Linked DNA regions of Coturnix japonica. The protein of the gene in region 3 interacts with the protein of the main gene of each other region in a pairwise test. Links are inferred from orthologs where the notes say so. Each region holds a gene or a part of one and is shown on either strand. Other genes may lie near its edges.

The links.
Region 1: the proteins of EEF1A1 (region 3) and HSPE1 interact in a two-hybrid assay, tested with the Homo sapiens proteins (2 studies listed by BioGRID and IntAct, with this or other methods). The link is inferred for Coturnix japonica from reciprocal best matches to the Homo sapiens genes EEF1A1 and HSPE1.
Region 2: the proteins of EEF1A1 (region 3) and LAMTOR5 interact in a two-hybrid assay, tested with the Homo sapiens proteins (2 studies listed by BioGRID and IntAct). The link is inferred for Coturnix japonica from reciprocal best matches to the Homo sapiens genes EEF1A1 and LAMTOR5.
Region 4: the proteins of EEF1A1 (region 3) and GADD45G interact in a two-hybrid assay, tested with the Homo sapiens proteins (2 studies listed by BioGRID and IntAct). The link is inferred for Coturnix japonica from reciprocal best matches to the Homo sapiens genes EEF1A1 and GADD45G.

What each region holds. Positions count from the first base shown.
Region 1 is NC_029522.1:3,881-9,657, forward strand, and holds HSPE1 (10 kDa heat shock protein, mitochondrial), read right to left. Parts: upstream 3,892-5,777; 5' UTR 3,721-3,891; coding exon 3,718-3,720; intron 2,072-3,717; coding exon 1,907-2,071; intron 1,152-1,906; coding exon 1,062-1,151; intron 855-1,061; coding exon 804-854; 3' UTR 498-803; downstream 1-497. Other genes in the region: HSPD1 (60 kDa heat shock protein, mitochondrial), read left to right, coding at 4,748-4,921. UniProt on the Homo sapiens protein: Co-chaperonin implicated in mitochondrial protein import and macromolecular assembly. Together with Hsp60, facilitates the correct folding of imported proteins.
Region 2 is NC_029541.1:1,787,886-1,793,513, forward strand, and holds LAMTOR5 (ragulator complex protein LAMTOR5), read right to left. Parts: upstream 3,486-5,628; 5' UTR 3,386-3,485; coding exon 3,351-3,385; intron 3,240-3,350; coding exon 3,178-3,239; intron 1,609-3,177; coding exon 1,491-1,608; intron 1,062-1,490; coding exon 1,001-1,061; 3' UTR 714-1,000; downstream 1-713. UniProt on the Homo sapiens protein: As part of the Ragulator complex it is involved in amino acid sensing and activation of mTORC1, a signaling complex promoting cell growth in response to growth factors, energy levels, and amino acids.
Region 3 is NC_029518.1:74,352,159-74,357,722, reverse strand, and holds the start of EEF1A1 (elongation factor 1-alpha 1), read right to left. Parts: upstream 3,628-5,564; 5' UTR 3,499-3,627; intron 2,754-3,498; 5' UTR 2,707-2,753; coding exon 2,563-2,706; intron 1,548-2,562; coding exon 1,368-1,547; intron 1,239-1,367; coding exon 942-1,238; intron 678-941; coding exon 527-677; intron 385-526; coding exon 128-384; intron 1-127. UniProt on the Homo sapiens protein: Translation elongation factor that catalyzes the GTP-dependent binding of aminoacyl-tRNA (aa-tRNA) to the A-site of ribosomes during the elongation phase of protein synthesis.
Region 4 is NC_029547.1:39,081,552-39,086,518, reverse strand, and holds GADD45G (growth arrest and DNA damage-inducible protein GADD45 gamma), read right to left. Parts: upstream 2,631-4,967; 5' UTR 2,405-2,630; coding exon 2,352-2,404; intron 2,275-2,351; coding exon 2,173-2,274; intron 2,085-2,172; coding exon 1,871-2,084; intron 1,628-1,870; coding exon 1,517-1,627; 3' UTR 935-1,516; downstream 1-934. UniProt on the Homo sapiens protein: Involved in the regulation of growth and apoptosis. Mediates activation of stress-responsive MTK1/MEKK4 MAPKKK.

The DNA.
Region 1 (5,777 bases), on a different chromosome or scaffold from region 3:
AACACATACCAACTGTGAAGGCATATCTAGGAACAGTATAAAGTGCAGATCTGTGCAGTGAAGTGCAAATAACCTTGAATCCATTCCCAAGGCAAAAGAGGGCGGTTACAAAGATGCTGATGTGATCGCTTCAGTGTGAGTTGAGTAAATATCTTACTGTTTAAGAGTGCTACATTAAAGATAAGTGAAGTATAATTTGTGAAACAGTGTCAGCTCTCTGCTAAGTTGTCAGTGAGGAAGAGAGCTGGCAAGATAAAGCACATTTATTTATCCATTACTGCATTAAGATTAGCATCAGCCCTGTACCAAACATCTTGTCATCTACCAGTAGCTATTACTGGAAATTAAGTCCAAAAGAATCTGTTACTTCAGATCAAGTTTGAGGTGGGACAAAGCTACTGTCTCTGTGTAATAACCGCTTTCAATCTGACTTAAGGACATGACACAAGTGCTACTCAGTTTCACAGAGCAGTAGCAGAAACTGAGACAGAAGCAGCAAGGTTTTAGAAATTTATTGTAAAGGCCTTTACAATTCCAGTACACAGATAAGGGTATAAAATGATGTTCTTTGGAATAATTAAGGCTGGATGGTGGTCATCTGCATGTCACTGAGTGGAACTCAAGCAAGAGCAACCCATTTCTGACTGTACATACTTTTTATTTCTGTTCCATCATTACAGTGAGATCACAAGTTACTTCAGAGACTCGATGCCTGCTTATTATAAAATAAAGGGCGTTATTTACACGATGAAAGAAAGCATTTCAGAATCTTAGTGGAATGGATGACGGATACTGCACCAGCTTCAGTCCAGGTATTTTCCAAGGATGTCACCGTCTCTAAACAAGTAGTAGTCCTGCAAGTATAAGAAATAATAGCGTCAAAACTCCTTTGATCAGCTGTTGTGCAGATAACATCTGGTACTGAAGGCTGCCACACATCATAAAGTACTAAACTGGGAGTGAGCTGACCACAGCTCACATATTACATACAATATTTACTGCTAACTGTGTGACATTATAGAATCCAGGTCATTTTACATCCACAAAACAGGAGAACATACCTTATCTTCTAGCACGATCTTGGTACCACCGTATTCTGGTAGCAAAACCTTTTCACCAACTTTGACACTCACTGGATGAATCTCACCATCCTGAAAGGAAGAAAATAAACACCCTTCATTTTACTCCAGTTCAATGGAAAGGTAATGGCACAATTGCTCCATACTGCAAACAAGTCAAATAATAGAACCACTTTGCAATATCCTGCTTTGAAAAGCAGACACAGAGACAAAAAGAAACCCCACGATATCTTTGGAGAGACTCACAGGCAAAGTCTGAGTCAACACACTCAAGTTAAACGTTAACCTGCTTTCTGCCATTGAGACTAACTGACCACTATTTAGATGGGGGAAAGATCCTCCAGTAGCAAAGCCACTAACCACGGGCATTTTAAGAAGGTGAAAAGACATTAAAAGGTCTCCTTCAGGATCTTCAACAGTCAAAGCTTAAGCAAGCTCAACTGGCATTTATTTCTACCAAGTCCTGATTTTTTGTTGTACATTAAGCCCAACTCTTATGGGCAATGATTTTTTGGACAAGACAGCGAACGCCACGTGCAGAACAACAAAGAAAAGCACGTAACCATTCACTGTTTAAGGATGCTTATCAATAGCTGGTTTCAAAAAGCAAGCATTTTCCATTTTGCAGATGTTCAAAGGAAGACTGGAATTCAAGGCCAGAGCCAGGCAGGGGAACTGAAACCTTCTACCTCTTCTTTGAACCTGCACTTCCACCTTCAATCACCCCTCTCAGTTTTTGTGCTATATGATTCAACGTACTCTGCAGCCATCCCTTTCCTGCTACCACTTTCCAGCTGCTCAAGCTGATGCTTCAATCAGACTCTTACCTTCCCTCTGGCTCCAGATCCAACTGCTACCACTGTTGCTTGCAGCACTTTCCCTTGAGCTTTTTCTGGAATCATGATGCCTCCTTTGGTTACAGTCTCTGCTGCGCATCGTTCAACCAGAACGCGATCAAACAGGGGAAGGAACTTCCTAAATGCTTTTCCTGCCTGTGAAGGGGCACAACGTTAAAGGAAAAACAGATGAACAAAAGCGCATCTAAAGCAAGAAAACCCACAACTAAGTGGGTGTCAGAGAACAAGAAGAAAGTTGAGCACTTCTTTTCCATAGAAGCGAATTATACCACCTGTGATTGCATTGCAGAGCTGTGCTATGACTGCTTCAAGCTCTTCAGAAGCAGCTCACTCCCAAGCTGCTCACACTGGGCACTCTGTGCCCTTAAGGCTCCTCGCTCCAGCTGAGGGAATGAGCCTCCAGCAGGTGGAGCAGGAGCCACATGTGGCTAATCCTAAACCGTTACTTAGTACGGCTCACTGAGAACAGCGGCTCACTGAGAACAGCTCGGTGATCACAAAGACAGAACTCAGTCAAGACTGAGGGCAGCTGCGTTTTCATTCACCGTAGCAGAGTATTTTATAGTAACAAACTGTCAGTCTAGGCCTGTAGCTGGTGCCTGTCTTTTTTGGGCAGTTTAAAGGCATGGCATTTCAGGTGATGTAAGAGAATTAATCAAGTCTGAAGTCCAAATGAAGACTGCTGTTAGTTGGAATGGAAGCAGCACTCCAGCTCCCACACAGGAGATGAAGGCAAGCACAGCACCCTGCTAAGCAGGGGCAGGAAAAGGAATTTGCTGTGGTTTAGGAGGAAAGCTATGGAGCCTTGCCAAGCCACATGGAGACAGTGTGATGCAAGGCAGGTACCCTGGGCTCACTGAAATGGCTAGAAGCAGCCTGGCAGCTGGGCACCCTCCACTGACACTGATCAGCACTGGAGCTTTAAAACTAGGGGGAAACGAAGCTGTAGGCAACGTGTGAGAGATGCATCCCCAGCTAAACTGCTATTACTGGAATGATGCAAGACATGGAAATGACTGTGAACCGGGATGATGTTCATTCTAAGAAAATACCAGTGCTGATCTCTTTCTCTTTAGATTCCCTGAAACCAAACGTTCTGTTCAACTGCAATCAGAACGCAGAATGCTGCCACTTTGTGCCTAAGCTTCAGGTAACACTGTGTCCTTCTGCCTGCTCTCACCAACGAGATGATCATCGTGGTCCTTTCCAGCGCTGGCCACTTTACGTTTCCTAATTTTATAAGGATCTTAATAACGATACACTGACGCAGGTACAAGGACAGCTGTGCCCTTAGGGCTCCTGCAGAGAAGCCCTGGATGGGAGCAGCTTACAGAGCACAGCACCAGCAGCTCCGTTTTCCCTCCCGCTCCTGCGGCCCCCAACGCAGCCCCCAAGGACTCGGTGACCTTGCAAACCCACTCCCAGCTCCGGGCCGGTCTAACCGAGCGTCCATAGGGCGCTAAGGCAGGACTGCAACGAAGGGCTCACCCGCTCTATCCCTGCCTGCCTCCATCCCCCCACAGCCCCACCGGCCGCATCAATCACCATCAATCACCATCAATTACCCTCCAGCAGCACCAAGCTGCCGACACCCCCATAGTGCGGCCTACTGCCCTGCGGACGGGCGGGGCGCAGCAGCGGGCACAGCCCCACGCAGGAGCGCAGGGCCGGGAACACGGGGCCGCGGCCGAGCGTGTGGTCAATCGCGGTGCCGGCTGTGGGGGCACATGCACACACACACACATACACTCACTCACACACTCACTCACACACTCACTCACCATGGCGGCTCCGTCCCGCTCCGCTCCGAGTGACCGCGCCGCTCCAAGCACACGTGAGGAAGGTCACCCCGTGCGCATGCGCAGCCGCCGACCCTGGCTCCTGGCCCCGCCCCGCCCCCAGCCGTGCCGCCCGGTGCCGCGGCTCCGTTATCCGCCGTCCCGGTGTCGGTGTGTGTCCCGGTGTGTGTCCCGGTGTGTCGCTGTGTGTCCCGGTGTGTCGCTGTGTGTCCCGGTGTGTCGCTGTGTGTCTCGGTGCTGTGGCGGTTCGGTTCGGGGCCGGGCCGGGACCGGGGTGGTGCTGCCACCCGGAAGTGAAGTCAGCCGCCCTCTGACCCGGGGCGAGCATGGGCATTCCAGAAGGTTCTGGAATTGGCGAGCCCCGGAACATGGGTGATTCATGCTCGGAGCCTCCTGCACATGCGCAGAGCGCGCCGTACGCCTAGATCCTTTTTTCCTCTATGGGCGGACCCAGACGCTATGCAGGTTGCGGGGCTCGGCCGCATGAGTGTGTGCCCGGCGGGGGCGGGGCCATGTGAGGGAGTGTGTGAGTGTGTGAGTGCGCGCCGCCCTGAGCGCCGTGCGGAGCGGAGAGCTGAGAACGCACACACAGCGCTACGGGACGCGCCGCCGGCACAACGCAGGTCAGTGGGGAGCCGAGCTGAGCTGTGCTGTGCCGTGCGGAGCTGTGCTGAGCCGTGCTGTGCTGGGGCGGGCCGCTCCTCACAGCGATGTGGTGGTGCTGAGGGAGCGCCGCGTGCTGACTTGGGCGGCCTTGCTCCCATTGCACGCCTGGTCCGGTGTGTGTGTGTGTGTGTGTGTGTGTATATGTGTGCAGCCCTGCTATGGCTCCTCACAGCCCCGTTGTGTTGCGGCCGGCTGCATTGTGGCCGGCAGGGGGCGGCGGGCTCTGACCTTGCGGCGCGTCCTGCTGTGGGGACGGGTGGGCATGTGGCTCCGAGCGCGGCCTGCGGGCGGACCATGTGCTGCTTTAAATCTGTATGGCTTTAACATCGGGTTTTACCCCCCAGACATGCTCCGTTTGCCCGCCGTACTCCGCCAGATCAGGCCGGTATCCCGAGCGCTCGCCCCGCACCTGACTCGGGCCTACGCCAAGGATGTGAAGTTCGGGGCGGACGCGCGGGCCCTGATGCTGCAGGGGGTGGATCTGCTGGCAGATGCCGTAGCCGTCACCATGGGGCCCAAGGTAACGGCGGGACGGGCTGCTATTGCGGGCGTGCCTTAAAACGTGGCGATAGGCGACGATAGTGTGCGTGGAGTCCCGTTACTTGCACGTGGGTAGAGCTGCGTGGCCATGTTCACATCGATCCCGTGGGCACAAAGGAGGACGGGCCGCTGCTCCCTGTGAGGGGCGCCTGCCTTCCTTTAGGCACTAAGGACGGCAAGGGGGCGACCGCGTGTTGGCTCGAGTTACTGCCCCTAACGGCGTGGTAGATAATTAACTCCTTCCAAAGGGAACAGTTACATTAGCGCTTATTTATTATCGGGCCAAATTACAGCTTTGTATCCTTTCATCTCCTACCAGCAGCAAAGTGGAAACACTCAAGGCGTAATGCTGAGCTTGCAGCCAGCTCTGAAATGCTTTAACCTTGATGGAAAATCCATGGCAGGGGCATCTATTGCTTGTAGGGTGCAGTGCAGTTTGGGAACCTCTGCAAGAAAATGAGCTGCTGTGTTCCGCACAGTCATACAACACAAAATGAGGCTCCTGCTAAAGGAGCAGATGCCTTTTTACTTCACATCTGTAGCAATGTTTGTTCCAAATCAGGTTCAGATAGTGATTTCTCTATGATTTCAGACCTGTTATCTGTTAATCTTCTCAAGGCTGCTTGGTACCTATTAAATTATTTCTCCTATGCACACCTTTGGAGCTTCACATGCTCCAAGTGTCATTAACTGGACACAGTTAAGGTTGAGGAGCAGCGATGTCAGCAATCTCTGGCTGCTTTCCATAAGAACAGCTCTCAATAAGAGGCTGCAGTGTCATCAGCTGATTTAACGCTTGGTTTGGGCTTAGGCTGCATTGTGAATGCCTGAGCTTG
Region 2 (5,628 bases), on a different chromosome or scaffold from region 3:
AAAATGGGCGTCTGCACTCTGTTTTGAGGAGATGAGCTTGGAAACTGAGCATTAAAGAAAATAAAGGGGAGGTAAATGATGGGCATGATGTAGCACTGCTCACCTCCATTAGCACCAACCTCACCATGAGAGCGCTGTGCAGAGCAGCCCATCCTTAGAGCCTGCTACATACATAACAGTGATGGTGAGGTCAGGAATGTCTGTTTTACACAGTGAATGCAGTTTTAGCTCCAACCCTGCCCTATCTGTTGGTCTATGCTCTGCAGTGAAGCCTCCTTTCTGCTCCACGTATGAGGCCAGCTCCTGTCTGCTCCCTTGTGCTGCGGAAGCATTCGAGCAAAGCAGCTTTTCAGGGCCTTTCTATGGGATTGTTCTGCCCAGTTCCAAATGCTCAAACCTCTAAAGGGAAGAGAGGATTCGCGGGGATGTCATCAGCATCCGTTCACAGTTCACACGAGGGCCAACAAGTTGAGGTTTGAACTTCAATCCGAAGCATAATAATAAGCTGCTCTCACTGAAAGCTTAACCAGAGGAGGCTAAACATTTCCTAGGAGAATAGAGAACTATTTGTATCTCTTCTACTGGAGGGACCTCCAAGTCTTGGTCCCTTTTCTCTGCAGCAATGCCAATGAAGAATCAGACTGGGAGAAGTCCCTCCAATTGGCTTTAGGGAAAGCAATGGGCTTTCACAGTAGGATCAAAGAGAAGCAACAGTTTTTGCAGGTCATTTATTGATTTCTCCAACAAATAAGGCCACGCACACACACACACACCTTGTAGTATCTATCATTACACAAGCTTGGTGAGTGACTCACGTCTTTAACAGCACGACTGCTAAAACGTGAGCTGGAAACCCTGATAGATGCATAGGAGCTGGTAAGTAGAGAGGGAGAGCCTTCAGCCCAGATTTGGTACTAGAAGCGTGTTCTGCATTGGAACAGCCAAGGAGAATGAGGAGGAGCTGGTCTGGAGCAGGGAATGGAGCATCAGGATGCCACGGTCAGGATGCCAACTTGTGCACTGCTACGGTGATGCTGTCATGCTTCTGGATCATGATGTTCCTAGAGCAAGGAAAGTGCTGTCAGAGGAAGGTGAGAAACCAGCTGGGAGAGCAGGAGCTGACTTGGCTGGGAAACCAGATGGGCAGCTCAGTGCCAGACCTGTCAGCTGTTCCCACAAAGGGGGATGATGGAGTCCTGCTGACCAAAACGACACTACAGCATGGGCTAAATAATCCATGGGGATCCAAAAAGCAAAAGAAATACAGTGCTGCAGCAACCACCAGCCCCTGAAAGGCTTCCAGCTGCTTCTGCAGTTCCCAAAGCCTGAGGTCCCATGAATCTGACTTCTTTTCATACCCCCCTCCCAACACAGCTTCAGCAATGGGGCTTCCTCCAGCTCTGCCAGTGAAATAGAAGATGGAGAGCTCTGCTCTGGAGATTTGGGGTGGGGAAAAAGGGAAGAGCAGCAGCCTTGGGCTGGATGCTCACCCACTGTCTGACTCCAGGCACACCACAGGAGTGTCGGTTGGGTCGGAGGTGAGCTTGGCTGCCTGCTGGGCCAGCACAGAGATGACTCCAGCATGTTCATCTGAGAGCGTTCCTCGGCCTGCAAGAGGGGAGATGTGGGTTGAACTCACGCACACCGTGATGGGAGGCAGCTCCCCATCCCCACTTCCTTCCCTTATTGCTGTAAGCTGATGTAGTACCTCCCCAGATCAAAGAATCACATGAGTTGGTAGGGACATATAAAGGCCATCAGCCCAACCCCCCTGCAATGAACAGGGACACCCATAGCTCCAGCAGATGCTCACAGCCCCCATCCCTGACTTCCAGTGTCTCCAGGGCCAGAGCACCCACATCTAGCTAGGGGCAACCTGTGCTGGTGCTTCTATGGGAGTCCATTGGGGTTCTATGGGGGGGTCCATAAGGGGTTCTATGCGGGGTCCACAGGGGCTCTACAGGGGGTCCACAGGGGTTTCTATGGAGGGTCATAAGGGTTCTATGGGGGGGGGGTCCCAAAGGGGGTCCATAGGGGTTCTATGGGGGGTCCACAGGGGTTCTATGCAGGGGGGTCCACAGGGGTTCTATGCAGGGGGGTCCACAGGGGTTCTATGGGGGGGGTCCAAGGGGTTCTATGGGGGGGTTCTTTGGGGGTATGCATCCAGACACGCATTGCGATGCGTGAGTTTCTATGGGGGGTTCTATGGGGGTTCCAATACGGGGTTCTATGGGGGGGTAATAGGGGTTCGTAATGGGGGGTCCACAGGGATTCTATGGGTCTGGGGTTCTATGTGGGGGGGTCACAGGGGTTCTACTGGGGGTGGGGTCCACAGGGGTTCTATGGGGGGGGTTCTATGGGGTGTCCACAGGGGTTCTATGGGGGGTCCATAGGGGTTCTATGGGGGGGTCAATAGGGTTCTATGGGGGGGTCCATAGGGTTATATGGGGGGGGTCCATAGGGTTATATGGGGAGGGGGTCCATAGGGGTTTCTACTGGGTGGGGTCCCAAAGGGGTTCTATGCCAGGGGGGCACAGGGTTTCTAAGGGGGGGGGGGGGGGGTTTTTTTTTTTTATCTATGGGGGTCATAGGGGTTCTAATGGGGGGTCACCAAGGGGTTCTATCCAGGGGGGTCCACAGGGGTTCTGTGGTTTGGGGGGGGGTTCTAATGAGGGGGTCCACAGGGGTTTCTATGGGGGGTGTCGCACAGTGGTTATATGGTGGACAGGAAGTTCTATACGGGGTCCATAGGGGTCTTATACTGGGGGGGTCATAGGGGGTTTACTAGGGGGGTCCATAGGGGTTCTACGCGGGGGGGTCCACAGGGGTTCTATGCGGGACAGGGATTCTATAGGGGTCCATAGGGGTTCTATGAGGGTCCACAGGGGGTCCATAGGGGTTCTATGGGGGGTCCATAAGGGTTCTATGGGGGACAGGGGTTCTATGCGGGGTCCACAGGGGTCCTATAGGGGGGTCCATAGGGGTTCTATGCGGGGGGGTCCACAGGGGTTCTATGGGGGACAGGGGTTCTATAGGGGTCCATAGGGGTCCTATGGGGGGGGTCCATAGGGGTCCATAGGGGGTCCATAGGGGCTCTATGGGGGTCTATAGGGGCTCTATGTGTGTCCCCATGCCCACCCCTAACCCAGGCCCTGCCCTGGTCGCTCCCATACTCACACCCCAGGTTGAGGCCTTGCGAGTCGGTGCACAGGACTCCCACCACGGCCGGGTTCTTCATGCTGCGGGAGAAGCGGCGGTCAGCCCGGCCTACACCCAGCCCCCAGCCCGCGGCCTTGCCTTCCTTCCCCCCCCCAGCCCCTCGGTCCCGCCGCCCCCATCCCGGTCCGTACGTGTCCTCCAGGTGCTGCTCCAGGCTCCCCTCCATGCCGCCCCCCTGTCGCCTTCACTTCCGCCCTTCTCGGCGGCTCCTGGCAGCTGCGTCGGTCATGTGATGCACGCTACGGTGGCTCCGCAGGGCCAAAAAGCGAAGCCAATGTACGGGAACCGCCCTGAGCAGCACCGGTATGTTCCCATTGGGCAACCACTGGTCAACCATTGGTCAACCATTGGTCAACTAGTAGTCAACCACTGGTCAACTGCTGGTCAACCATTGGTCAACCACTAGCCAACCACCGGTCAACTGCTGGTCAACCATTGGTCAACCATTGGTCAATCATTGGTCAACCATTGGTCAACTGCTGGTCAACCACTGGTCAACCATTGGTCAACCACTGTTAACCACTAGTCAACTGTTGGTCAACTGCTGGTCAACCATTGTCAACCACTGGTCAACTGCTGGTCAACCACTGGTCAACCATTAATCAATCATTGGTCAGCCACTAGTCAACCACCGGTCAACCGCTGGTCAACCATTGGTCAACCACTGGTCAACCACTGGTCAACTGTTGGTCAACCATTGGTCAACCACTGGTCAACCATTGGTCAACTGCTGGTCAACCATTGGTCAACTAGTAGTCAGCCACTAGTCAACTGCTGGTCAACCATTAGCCAACCACAAGTCAACTGCTGGGCAAGCACTGGTCAACCAGAAGCCAACCACTAGTCAACAGCTGGTCAACCATTGGTTAACCATTAGTCAACCACTGGTCAATGAGGACCTACAGGTACCACTAAGTCCAACTCCCTCCACCCAACCCCTATGGTTTTGGGTGCCCCTGCCCTGTGGAGCTGTGCCATGCCCACCTCCCTCTGGTGCTCAGCCTTTTCCTAACACCCATCCTGTCCATCCCAACACAGCTCCATACCTTTCTTTATGCCCTGTATTTGTCCCCAAAGAGCTGTAAGGGCCCCACACCCACTCCCACAGAGGACGTGGGGCTGTAGTGTTGTATCACAGCCATTCGTGCCCTGCTTTCAGTGTGCAGGAGGTGATGGATGGCAGAGCCATCAGAGCCTGAGACTGATGGCTGAAACGCATCCAGCTCAGCCCTGGCAATGGATCTTATCATGTCAGGCTGGAAAATTAAAATGTTATTGATGGGGGAAGTGAAATGCAGTGGTGATTTTTCTTAGTTTTATTTCTCTTTCAATTTTTTTCCCCTTCTTGATTGAGTTGGAATCGTCACCAGTCACTCCAATCCCATTGCATCCCCCCCATACTGGATATCCTGCCTGTCCCAGAGCTCCATTTTGGGTTATTTTCACCCTCCTTTGTGGGGGGGAACACAGGAATAAGATACAGCTGTGCCCTATTAAGGTTGAATCCCCCCCATACATACACACACAGGGACCCCAGAATCCCAGCTGATGGCCCATTCCCTGCAGTGAGGCTTTAGGACGGAGGAATTTCTGAGGACTGGGAGAAATTAATTCAAGACCAGGTGGAGACTTCAGCAAAGCAGGAGAACAGCTGCCACTTCAAAGGGGACGCTGGCCTTTGGAGGGGGAAATAGCCGGGCTATTTTTAGGCAATTAAATAGATAATTTAACATGGGATTGATGCTGTGCAAGAGAAATTCTGCTGTCAGAGACAGCAGGAAGCAAAGCTGTTCTGCTGTTTGGCAGCCTGGATGTTACAGGGATGGTGCCTTGAAGTCCAGGGCTGGAGAGATTCCATTCAGTGGGTCAATATCAGTAATGCTCCTTCAATAGAGACTTACTTCGAGCCCTTGTGTAAAGGAGCATTGCCACCTCCTGGGCACACATGGCACTGGGCAATGGGAACCCAGGCTGGGCCATGGGAGCACAGGACAAGCACCAGCCACAGCTGTGTATTTCTATGGATTCATGAAGCTTTCTCCATGCAGAGCTCTGTCCCTCACACCCTCCCACAATGTGTAAATAAAAGCAGATGCTGACGGTTCATCCTCTCCTGTTTTTAAGCTCTAGCAATCCCTGCTCTTGTTTCCATGTGCTCCCAACAGACGCTCCAGATTCAATCAGACCCATAGAGAGGGGGGACACACTCAGGATATCCCACTATCCTATGAAGCACCAATTGAGTCATTTACACATCATGTACCATCCACGACGGCCCTTTATATCTATCTCCTTTTAGCTCCAGAACTGCTAATTCTCAATCTGATCCTCAGCTACACCTGTCAGGGATAAATATGCACCAGCCCAACAAATCCAGCTGTGTTAGCTGAGCTGAGAAATAACCCTGGG
Region 3 (5,564 bases):
TATTTGCTTAAGGCAAATCCCATCTCGGAGCACAAGTCTGTATCACCTTACAGCTCAGCCCCCGGTAACAAAGAGCAAGGTTCTGTATTTCACAATCTAAATGCCTTCAAACAGTTGCAAAAGTCACCTGTGCAGTGAAGCCAGCAGCTTCCATTGGAGGATCATTCTTGCTGTCACCAGCAACGTTACCACGGCGGACATCTTTCACAGACACGTTCTTAACGTTGAAACCAACGTTATCACCAGGCAGAGCTTCGCTAAGGGCCTCATGGTGCATCTCAACAGATTTTACTTCAGTTGTAACATTAACGGGGGCAAATGTGACAACCATGCCTGGCTTCAGGACACCAGTTTCCACACGGCCAACTGGTACAGTACCAATGCCTACAGAAGTGAACACAGAAAGCCAGTTAAGTCCAGTATATGCTTACAGAGAAAAACATTTCAGGCAGGAGTTTCACACTCAAGTTCCCAAGCAAACACTAGCAATTCTGTCCCATACACAAGCACTGTGGTGAACACATACCACCAATTTTGTAGACATCTTGAAGAGGCAGACGCAGAGGTTTGTCAGTTGGACGAGTTGGAGGCAGGATGCAGTCCAAGGCTTCCAGGAGGGTGGTTCCACTGGCATTGCCGTCTTTGCGGGTAACCTTCCATCCCTTGAACCAGGGCATCTGTAACAAAACAGCCCCCAACCGTCAGTCATCTGCCCATGTTAATAGAACGAAGCTATGAAACAACTGGCCTAACTCCTTGCATCATCTTCATTACTGCAGAATAACAATTCATAAAGCACTAGGATTTCACACTGACCCCAACATTTCAAAATACTACTACTGAAAAAACCCAAACCCACGTATTTAACTATTGTTTAACTTATCTTAATGATCCTGCTAGTTCCATTTCCTAATATTAAAAAGGAAAACAGGGAAACCTACGTTAGAGCTGGGCTCCAGCATGTTGTCCCCGTTCCAACCAGAGATTGGCACAAAAGCTACAGTGTCTGGGTTGTAGCCAATTTTCTTGATGTAAGTGCTGACTTCCTTGACGATCTCTTCGTATCTCTTCTGGCTGTAAGCGGGCTCAGTGGAATCCATCTTGTTAACACCAACGATCAGCTGTTTCACACCCAGGGTGTAGGCCAGAAGAGCGTGCTCGCGGGTCTGCCCGTTCTTGGAAATACCGGCCTCGAACTCACCAACACCAGCAGCAACAATCAGGACAGCACAATCAGCCTTTGAAAAGGTAGAAAAAAGCCCTTGTTAGAAAGCCTACACGCACACTAAAGCACATGGGCAATTTCCCTGCTGTAAACCAGCCAAGGAGCAGCTTCCCTCAACTCCCCACATCCTTTATTTCCTTACCTGAGAAGTTCCAGTGATCATGTTCTTAATGAAGTCTCTGTGTCCAGGAGCGTCGATGATGGTGACGTAGTACTTGCTTGTTTCAAATTTCCACAGGGAAATATCAATAGTGATACCACGCTCACGCTCAGCCTTGAGCTTGTCCAAGACCCAGGCGTATTTGAAGGAACCTTTGCCCATCTATGGGTTTGAAACAGGAAAAAAAAACCCCTCAAGATATATATTTTCATTTACCTCACCAAGACCATGAAATACACACTAACGAGCAAAGTTATTAATAGGGAGTGACTTACACTGAAAGCTGCTGTTGCTCATAAAACTCTGGCCTAGGTTCACTTGGCACTACTACCAAGATATGCCAACTGCTCTGTCATTTAACCTGCTGACACTTCAGCCCTCTTGACAACTTGTTAATTGTGCTAACACATCTTTATGATGGATCTCTTAAGGCTTAGTCCTACTATCAAGTGTCCACTACAAATTTTAGCTTAGTTACTAATGCCATCCCTGCTCCAGTTGGTATTTTAACAGCCACACAGCCCAGCATTCACTGCATTTCCTTTTATCATGTGCTTACGAGGTGCTATTTTATCACTAAAACAAAACAAAGGAAAACTGGAATACTTCCACAGGTTCACATAATGGTACCTTAGACTCTCCCACCTTGAGACAAGGCTGATCATTACATTTTCAACTAAACTACAAGATGACATGAGACAACAGTCTAAAGCTGTGCCAGGGGAGGTCCAGATTGGATATTAGGAGTAATTCCTACTCCATAAGAGCAGCAATGCATTGAAACAGGCTGTGCACAGAGATGGTGGAGTCACTACCCTTGAAGTGTCCAAGAAACCTGCTGACGTGGCACTGAGGGACATGGTTAGTGGCCATGGTGGGGATGGGCTGATAGTTGGAGTTTCAAGGTCTTCTCCAACATTAACGATTCTGTAATTCTCAATCCAGGCCGAGAATGAAGATGGGAGCTCCCATTTTGATTCTAAGCGTTCAGATTTAGCTTCATGCTCTTTATTCTATGCTTCGATGACTTCACCTTAACATAACAGATTGAGTACTCTAGTTCAATTACCAGGACAATCTCGACCCAACCGCCTCCTTGTGGTAGTAAAACGTTCTGGTTTCCTTCCTTTTGCCCCTTATTCCCCCCAGTCTCCCACCACACGGCTGCCTCACACACCTCGGCCGCCTCCTTCTCGAACTTCTCGATGGTCCTCTTGTCGATGCCACCACATTTGTAGATGAGGTGCCCGGTGGTGGTGGACTTGCCGGAATCGACGTGGCCGATGACGACGATGTTAATGTGAGTCTTCTCCTTTCCCATTTCGGATGGTCTTTAGCTTCTTTCTTCCGGCCAAAGAGAAACGACACCTGAAAGTTCCAGAAGGAATCCCGGTTACAGCGGCCGCCCCCGTCCCGCAGCAGCGCCGCCCGCAGGGGGCAGAGGGCCCGTGTAGGCTCGGCCCCGCCCCACCGGGGGATGGGAGGGGGGAGTCGAGCAGCGGGGAGAGGCGGGCGGTGTTGGCGGCCCGTGTCCCCTCCGGCTCGCCCCCCTCCTCCGTCGCCCCCTCCCCGCATGGCGGCCGGGCCGGGCCGTGCTGGGGCGGCGGCGCGGGGCGGCGCGGAGGGCGGGGCCGCCCCTCTCCTTTGTGTGTGACTCACCCCGCCCGGGCCGCCGTCCTCCATTTTGTGAGCTGACGGCGGCAGGAAGAGCGGGCGGCCATTTTTTTTCTCGTGCCCCGGCCTTCCCTTCCCCCATCGCCCACACCGACGGCGCGGCCCCGCCATCCCCGGCCGCCACCCGCGTACGGCCGAGCACCGCACGCCGCACAGCAGCGCCAGGCGGCTCCGCAAGAAGCCGAAGCGGCGGTGCGGCCCCATGTGCTCATCGCGGCGCTGCCTCGCGTGAGCCCTCGGATGGGACACGTCGGCGTTACGCCGCCGCTCGCCCCGCTTCCCCCATCCGCCCCTTATCTCGCCATCCCCCCGCTCCGCCATCCCCACGCACCGCTGCACGGCGGCGCCTCAACCCCCCGCTCACGGTACATCCACGCACCCCCAGCATCCCCGCTCCCCCCACCCCCGGGCCCGGCCCGCCCCGCCGCACGCTCCTCACCCGCACGGCGTCGGCAAACCCGGAGCGGAAAAGAACGACGGCGTGAGCGCCGCCCCTTATATACCCTGCCACGGGGCGGGGCCTCGGCGCCGCGTCACGGCTCCCGGCGGGCCCAGCGCTAAGCCCCGCGCTAAGCCCCGCCCGGCAGCGCCGCACGCCGTGCTCCCCTGGGGGCGGCGGGGAGGGGCGGGGTGCGGATCCCAGCCCCGGGGGAGCCGGGCCGAGTGGCGGCCGGTCGGGACTCGCTGCCCCAATGCTGAACGGCATCGCCTGGAGCGCGGCCAGCCGGGATGGAGGTGCCGCTCCGCCGCCTCCCCCTCGGCACGGCAGCCATAGAGTCGCCGAGCTCCGCCTCAGGCCCGAGACTGCGGCCCGAGGGGACGCGGACAGCGAGCTGCGGGGTGGGAACTTGCAGACTAGCAGAGATCCCCGGTGGCCTCGCGTTTCACACAGGGCCAAGGAGATTCGCTTCAGCATCAATTCGGGGCTTCTGCTTGAGAGCTCCAAACTGCCCCGAGTGCCCCCATGCCGTACATTCCCGGCTGACAGGTGCCCCATGAGAGTCACCAAAGGTGCTGGCAGCCCCAGCCTTTGGCTTCTGAAACGGGGGCACCAGCACTGAAAGCCCTCGTGATTCCAGCAGGGTGTACTCGTGTAAAACACCTGTATGGCTTTCTAGTGGGAAATTAACCCCAGAAGGGAAACAAATACTTTATTCCTTTAATCACAGAACGACCTGGTTTGGAAGGGACCTCAAGGATCACCCCCTGCCTGGCAGGGCCACCAAACATACACATTTACTAGATCAGGTTGCCCAGGGCCCCATCCATCCTGGCCTTGAACACCTCCAAGGACGGGGCATCCACAACCTCCCTGGGCAGTCTGGGTTAAAAGGATCTGTTTTCTTCTTCTAAGAGAATGTAATGCACCCATGTTACAGTTACTTACGTGTACTCAACTGTAATCCCATTCAATTGTTGGCAGGGGCTCCACAGAACATGCTGAGTTGGAAGGCAGCCCCAGGGATCACCGCGTCCCACTCCTGGCTCCACACGTCTGAGAGCAGCATCCAAATGCTCCTTGAACTCCAGCACCGCGGGCCATACCCACCAATATATAACTATAGCTCACATCTAGGTGTTAAATCACTGAAGGCATTTGCTATGAAGGCAGAGTACCAGCATCTTCATTAAGTGACTTTTCATGGCTCAGGCTGAGGAGTAAGGGTCAATAACTAGTAAGAAAGCTGAGCACACCACATCTGTAAAACCAAGGCTGTAAACATGTCCACGAAGCTTTATTCTACAGGATGGTTTCTAGTTTAGCTTCTGCAATGCCTGTCAGTGGGGGTGTTTTTAGATGGATAAGTTTGTCCAAGTATCTGTTCTGCTAAAGCATAGTTGAAAACATTCAGCCACTTGCACCTCAGCAGGGGGAGGAGAAAGGAAATGTGTTACTGATTTCTTACGCGGCCCATAAGAAACTGCACAGTTATGGGATGTATTTAAAAGGCTTCCATAAATAAAGGCATATGGAAGCATGCATTTCTTAGGACAGCAGTTTCGTTGGTATATTCACAGCTGAAAGCCTGCCGAGTTGTTGGATAACCTTCTAACCATGCCCTAGTTAAGTCTTCAGCAGTCGTTCCTTTCCCCGTGCTTCTTTAATTGGATTTTCAAAGGAGTTTTTACCATTTCCTCTACAATCAAATAGATGCTTTTATTCTCTCGATAACTGGCGCATCTTTCCTCCATTCTATTAGCAGAACATTCCTATTATCAATCCTGTAAATATTTATACAGCTGGGGACCTTCAGATATGTGAGTATCCTCACATTGTTCGGTGCGAATGCCTTCTGAACTATCCTCTCAGCTAACACAGGCCAAAAGCCCGTATGCAAATAACCTCGAAGGAATTAAAAATGTTGCTAATATGGCAAAACGAATCTCTTTGATATGAAAAGCTGATGAAGCAGCAGATATAAGATCTCCAGAATGCCCCATCATTCAGGCTTTGAAGCAGTGCTTATTAAACCCAGCAGAAATAGGTGGGTTACACACCTGAAG
Region 4 (4,967 bases), on a different chromosome or scaffold from region 3:
CTTCCAGTTACAGATGCTTTGATTGTAACACCATACTAATAAGATTTTCAGCCTGAGCTTAATACTATGTGTGGTAAACTCCGCACTGAGCCAGGAGGAATTTCAGGAATTTTATGGGAGCTGTGTATGTCTCAGGAGACGCAGTTCACAACTGCAGAGGACAACTGAGGGGGGGGCAAAGTCATCCCCCCCATTCTCTAAAGCATCAAGGGCAGCATCTCACAAGTGCTGCTTCATCAGTTTCATTGCTTGTTGTGCAGCATGTTTCCTCCAAAAAAACAGGAGGCTAAGCTTCCTACTCAGTACAACTGTTAGTATGTATGGTCAGACAGCAAATCAGGCACACTTTTTTCTGCTACACTTTAGCTGTTACATGTGCTGGAGTGACAGCTTCCATTGCTGGAGCATACAGGATTCAGAGAGCAGTTCATAGCAAATGTCATGTTTATTCACTATTAGTTTTTGGTCTAACTAACTAAGTCTAATCAAAGTAAACACTACATGTATTTGACATCTAAGGAGACCTTCAGGTCACCATCACATTTGAGCTGCTTCTGCCATGTAGAAACCTCTATAGCTCCAAATGAGTAACTCATTTAACATGTAATGATGCTATTTACTGGAGATTCGTGTTCCCAGTATCCATGTTTCTAGCATGGACTGTGATCCCCTAGCAGACCGCAAAGACAACATACTACAATAAATGAGCTCATTAAGTATGCAGCTCTTTAGTCTCGCAAGCTGTTGCAGAGGGTGAAAAGCTGGATTATCAACTTGGGAAGCACACTTGTGATCCAGCTGGGCCCAGAGAGAAAGCATGTGAGCAACATCCCTATTACTGTTGAGTATACCTTTGACTACAGTACATGAGCAAAGCAGCAGTGGTATTGCAGTGACATGCTTCCCCACCCAGTAAGCCAGATACTCACAGAAATTAAGTGTCAAAAATTTATTATGAAAGCTTCCATAGCAGCAAACGTTTAAAAAAAAAAAAAACAACAAAAAAACAAAAAAACTATTGCATTATTAAACCAGTACACTGGCCCAGAGGCCTGTTGAAGTCTGTCTGCTTTAAGAGTGTCTGTATTTGCCTTGATAATTAGTCTCTAAAAGTCCAAGAAGTACTGAAGCTTGCTTCTCTTCATGTTTTGTAGACAGCACCAACAGCTTATAGTCACAGTACTGTTCAATCCTGTGAAGTTTTGGACCACTTCCCCTAACTTTCTCTGCTTTCTGAAACAGATCCACTTGACCAGGAAACTTGCAATACTCGTTTCAGTTCCATAGTACATTATCTTCCACACAGCTGCAGTCTACTGACACCCACTGATGAGGTGAGCTATTCTTTTCCTTTCTCCTCTGTAAGAGCCCACAGCATGCCAGTCTGAGTGACTGTAATCCAGTCCCTTGACCAGGCTAATCCATGGAATCAGCAGCTTGTTGCACACTTCGGTGAACCAACACCACGTTGAGAATGCAACAGAGGTTTCAGCCTCCCCAGCATGCCAGGCCATAGTCACTCAGGTAAGACAATAGTTGGCACCCACTCATTGACGTTCCGGCTTTCTTCACAGAAGCAGTTCAGCTTCTCTAAAGCTGGATCCTTCCAGCCATCTTCATTTGAGTTCTGGTAGAAAAGCATCGCACACCATGAGTGCACAAAGTCACAGTATTATTTTACAGAAGCACTAGCTTAAAAAGCAAAGCATTTTCAGAGACAAAGAGCAGGAAGCTGAGCTGTCACCAATGTGGGTGGCAGTGAAACCCCCTTTACAGAAGCACCGCCCCCTGTATCTCAGCAGTTCTGCACCCCAAGGGCTAAGCCCGGCCAGCCCACAGAGCTCCATCCCTCCCAGTCCCAGCCACGCACCGTAATGAGGATGCAGTGCAGGTCTCTGGGCTCACCAGACTCTTCGTTGGATCCCACGGCAGCAGCCAGCTTGGGTAGGTCGTTCACACGCACGATGTCGATGTCATTCTCGCAACAGAAGGCCTGGATGAGGGTGAAGTGGATCTGTAGGGCGATGTCCCCCTCGTCCTCCTCATCGGCCGCCAGCACGCAGAACGCCACGTTATCTGGGTCCCTGCGGGTGGCGAGCACCGTTAGGCCCTAGTAGGGCTTCCTTGCCCCTCGCCCCACTCGCGCTGCCCGCCCCCCCTCACCCCACTCACACGTTCATAAGCTTGGCCGACTCGTAGACGCCGGCAGTGAGGCAGCCGCGGCGCTGCGCCGACACCAGCAGCTCGTGGAGGGCCTTGCCGGCGCCCTGCATCCTGGAAGCCGGAGAGAGCGGTCAGCACGTCACCAGCGCCCGGACAACGGCCACCCCACCTCCCAGCCAACCGCCTACCAGTCCTTGCCCGCGGGCACCGGCTCCTGTCCTTGCGCCTCTTCCAGAGTCATAGCAGCGTGTCGCCAAGCAGCGCTGTCACCGATAACCCCCAGCTCCTCCCAACAACCCAATACCCACGTCCTGCCGCAGCTCCAGCGGCTCCTGCTCCTTTTAAGCCCGCGGAGCTCCGGCGCTGGCAGCTGGCGGCGGCCGGTGCGTTCCCATTGGCGGACGGGGAGCCGGGGGAGCGCTTTGTCATGCTAATGGCCGCACGCCGGGCGGGAGGTGGGGGCGGCTCGTGCCGGGGGGACACGTGGTGGCGCAGGGAGGGCGGCCACGGCCGCGGCGTGGTGGCGTGATCCGCGGGCACGGGGAAGGCGTGTGCCGGGAGGGGGCCCACAGCTGCTGCGTGGCACCGTGCTGCTGCCTTGGGGATGCTGGGGTAGGAGGGTTCCTTCTTAACAGTTGTGCTGAGGCTGCTCGGGAGGTGGGGGAGTCACCATCTCTGGCGGTGTTCATTAATCGTGTGAATGAAGCGTTGAGGGACTTGGGTTAGTGCTCGTGGTGGGGGTGGGTTGGCGGTGGGGCTTGGTGATCTCAGGTCTTTTGCAGCCATTGTGATTCTATGAGTGCTCAAAGGCATTCTCAGCTTGAAAGTCTGCATTGCTACCTGCTGCACTCCCTTAAATGGCATGACTTGAGCTGCTGCTACGGGGTCAGTGTGCATCACCTTAATCTGTTCTTCCAGGTACATAGGTCACTCCTCTTTATTTCCGTAGAAATTACAACAAAGAGTGCAATAGCACTGTTTGATGGAGCAAATTCTCAGCTTCAAAACACATATTTTCAATAGTCACCATCTTTAGCTTTTCATTTTCACCAGCAGTGAACAAGAGCCTTCATCTCATGTTCGTAAACATCTACGCCAGCTGACCTTGCTCAGAGAAGGTCTAGATGCCCCATCCTTGGAGACATTCAAGGCCAGATGGGTGGGGCCTTGGGCAGTCTGATCTGGTGGTTGACAAACTGCCCATGGGATTGGAACTGGATGGCTTTTGTGGTCCCTTCCAGCTCGAAGCATTCTGTGATTTTATGATAGATGACCCACCTATCACTGTCACCACTGCTGAAACACACCACCTACTGCCTTACTGTGATCACATCCACTGTTTGGTCTCTATAAGCAAACATCTATGAATGTCGATAGGTGCCATTTTTTCAGCATGGAGGAATTCAGTGACACAGCTTTGCTCCATACACACTTCCATGTCAGACACTGTTCTGTCAGACTGCCCCTCTGCTGTCACATAGCAACAAAATGCAATGCAGTGTTGGTGGGAAGGTCCAACCTCTACTACCACCTTCCACCTCTGATGTCATGGGCTGACAAAATGGGAGGCATTAATTTCAGAGCAGCCCCAGTGTGCAGCCACAGACCTTTAACACACAAATTCCCATTTCTGCCCACAAGCCCAGTGCCCTGCAGCCACAGACTCCAGCAGACTCTGTGCTGCAGACAGTTCTTTTGTCTGGTGGAGAACTGACAGCACCACGTCCTGGGTAGCTCTGCTGCTGAGTGCTTCAGGTCATTCAGTATCAGGGTGGGCCCACCACACATCAGTGCCACGCAGGCACCATGAAGCACATTTTGCCATTAAATTGGCCAGCTGCTACAGTAGCAGTAGCACGGAAGGCCACCCTGCAGCCTTGTGTTATTTGTCAGCACATGGCTGAGCACCACTCAGTCCCGGGTGGTGGTCACATCCACAGAAAATCCCTGACCTCTGCTAGACATCGAAAATATTAGGGCTGCAACAAACAGCTGGGCCCTCACATGGATGCCTTGCCTATTCTCATATCATGAGTGTTTTTTGTGAAAGCCTAGAGGAGAAGAAAAATAGGAAAAAAAAAAAAAAAGAAGTATTTTCTGCATGAAGAAAGCCCTTAAAACAGCTCCTAAGTAAGTCAGGTGCAGAGTAGTGGGGAAAGAGGTATTCAGTGTTCAATTACAGCAGTGGCAAAGAGTACAGCAAGAAAAAGCAGACAGAACTGCAGCTAGGTTGTACTCCTGAATACCTGGTAACAAACTGCTCTTCCCCTGATCAGCCCTGCTGTCCTCACACTGCAAAACTTTTTCTCCAGGTACTGAATTTCACAAACCAGAAAACTAAAGCCCCACCGCAGTCAACCCGGGAGTCTTGGGAACCAAGCAGACGGCTCCCTCTGCTGACACTGTGCTCAATGGCACTTCAGCTTCCAAAACACAACAGCTGAAAATGCTGCTGTGAAAATAAAAGCATCTTTCAAATAAGTTAAGTGTTCTGCTGTTAAAAAATGGAGCATTCCCACAAATATAGCTGAAGTGATGTAGGATGGGCACCACTCCCATCATCATAGGATGTAATGCAGCTCAACACAAAGCCTTCAATTTGGATGTCTTTTCAGACTTCGAGCTAAAAAAAGACAAATGCAGCCTTTGCATTAATTTTGGTTGTTGGTGTCTTTTTTTTTTTTTTTTCTATAGAAAATGGCATGCTGCATCAAGTTCCTGCTTGTAGTCAAGAGACTTTTTTTTGCTGGTGTTGCTGAGAATATGCTATTCTTGAAATAAAGCAAGAAACCAAAAATGCTGCT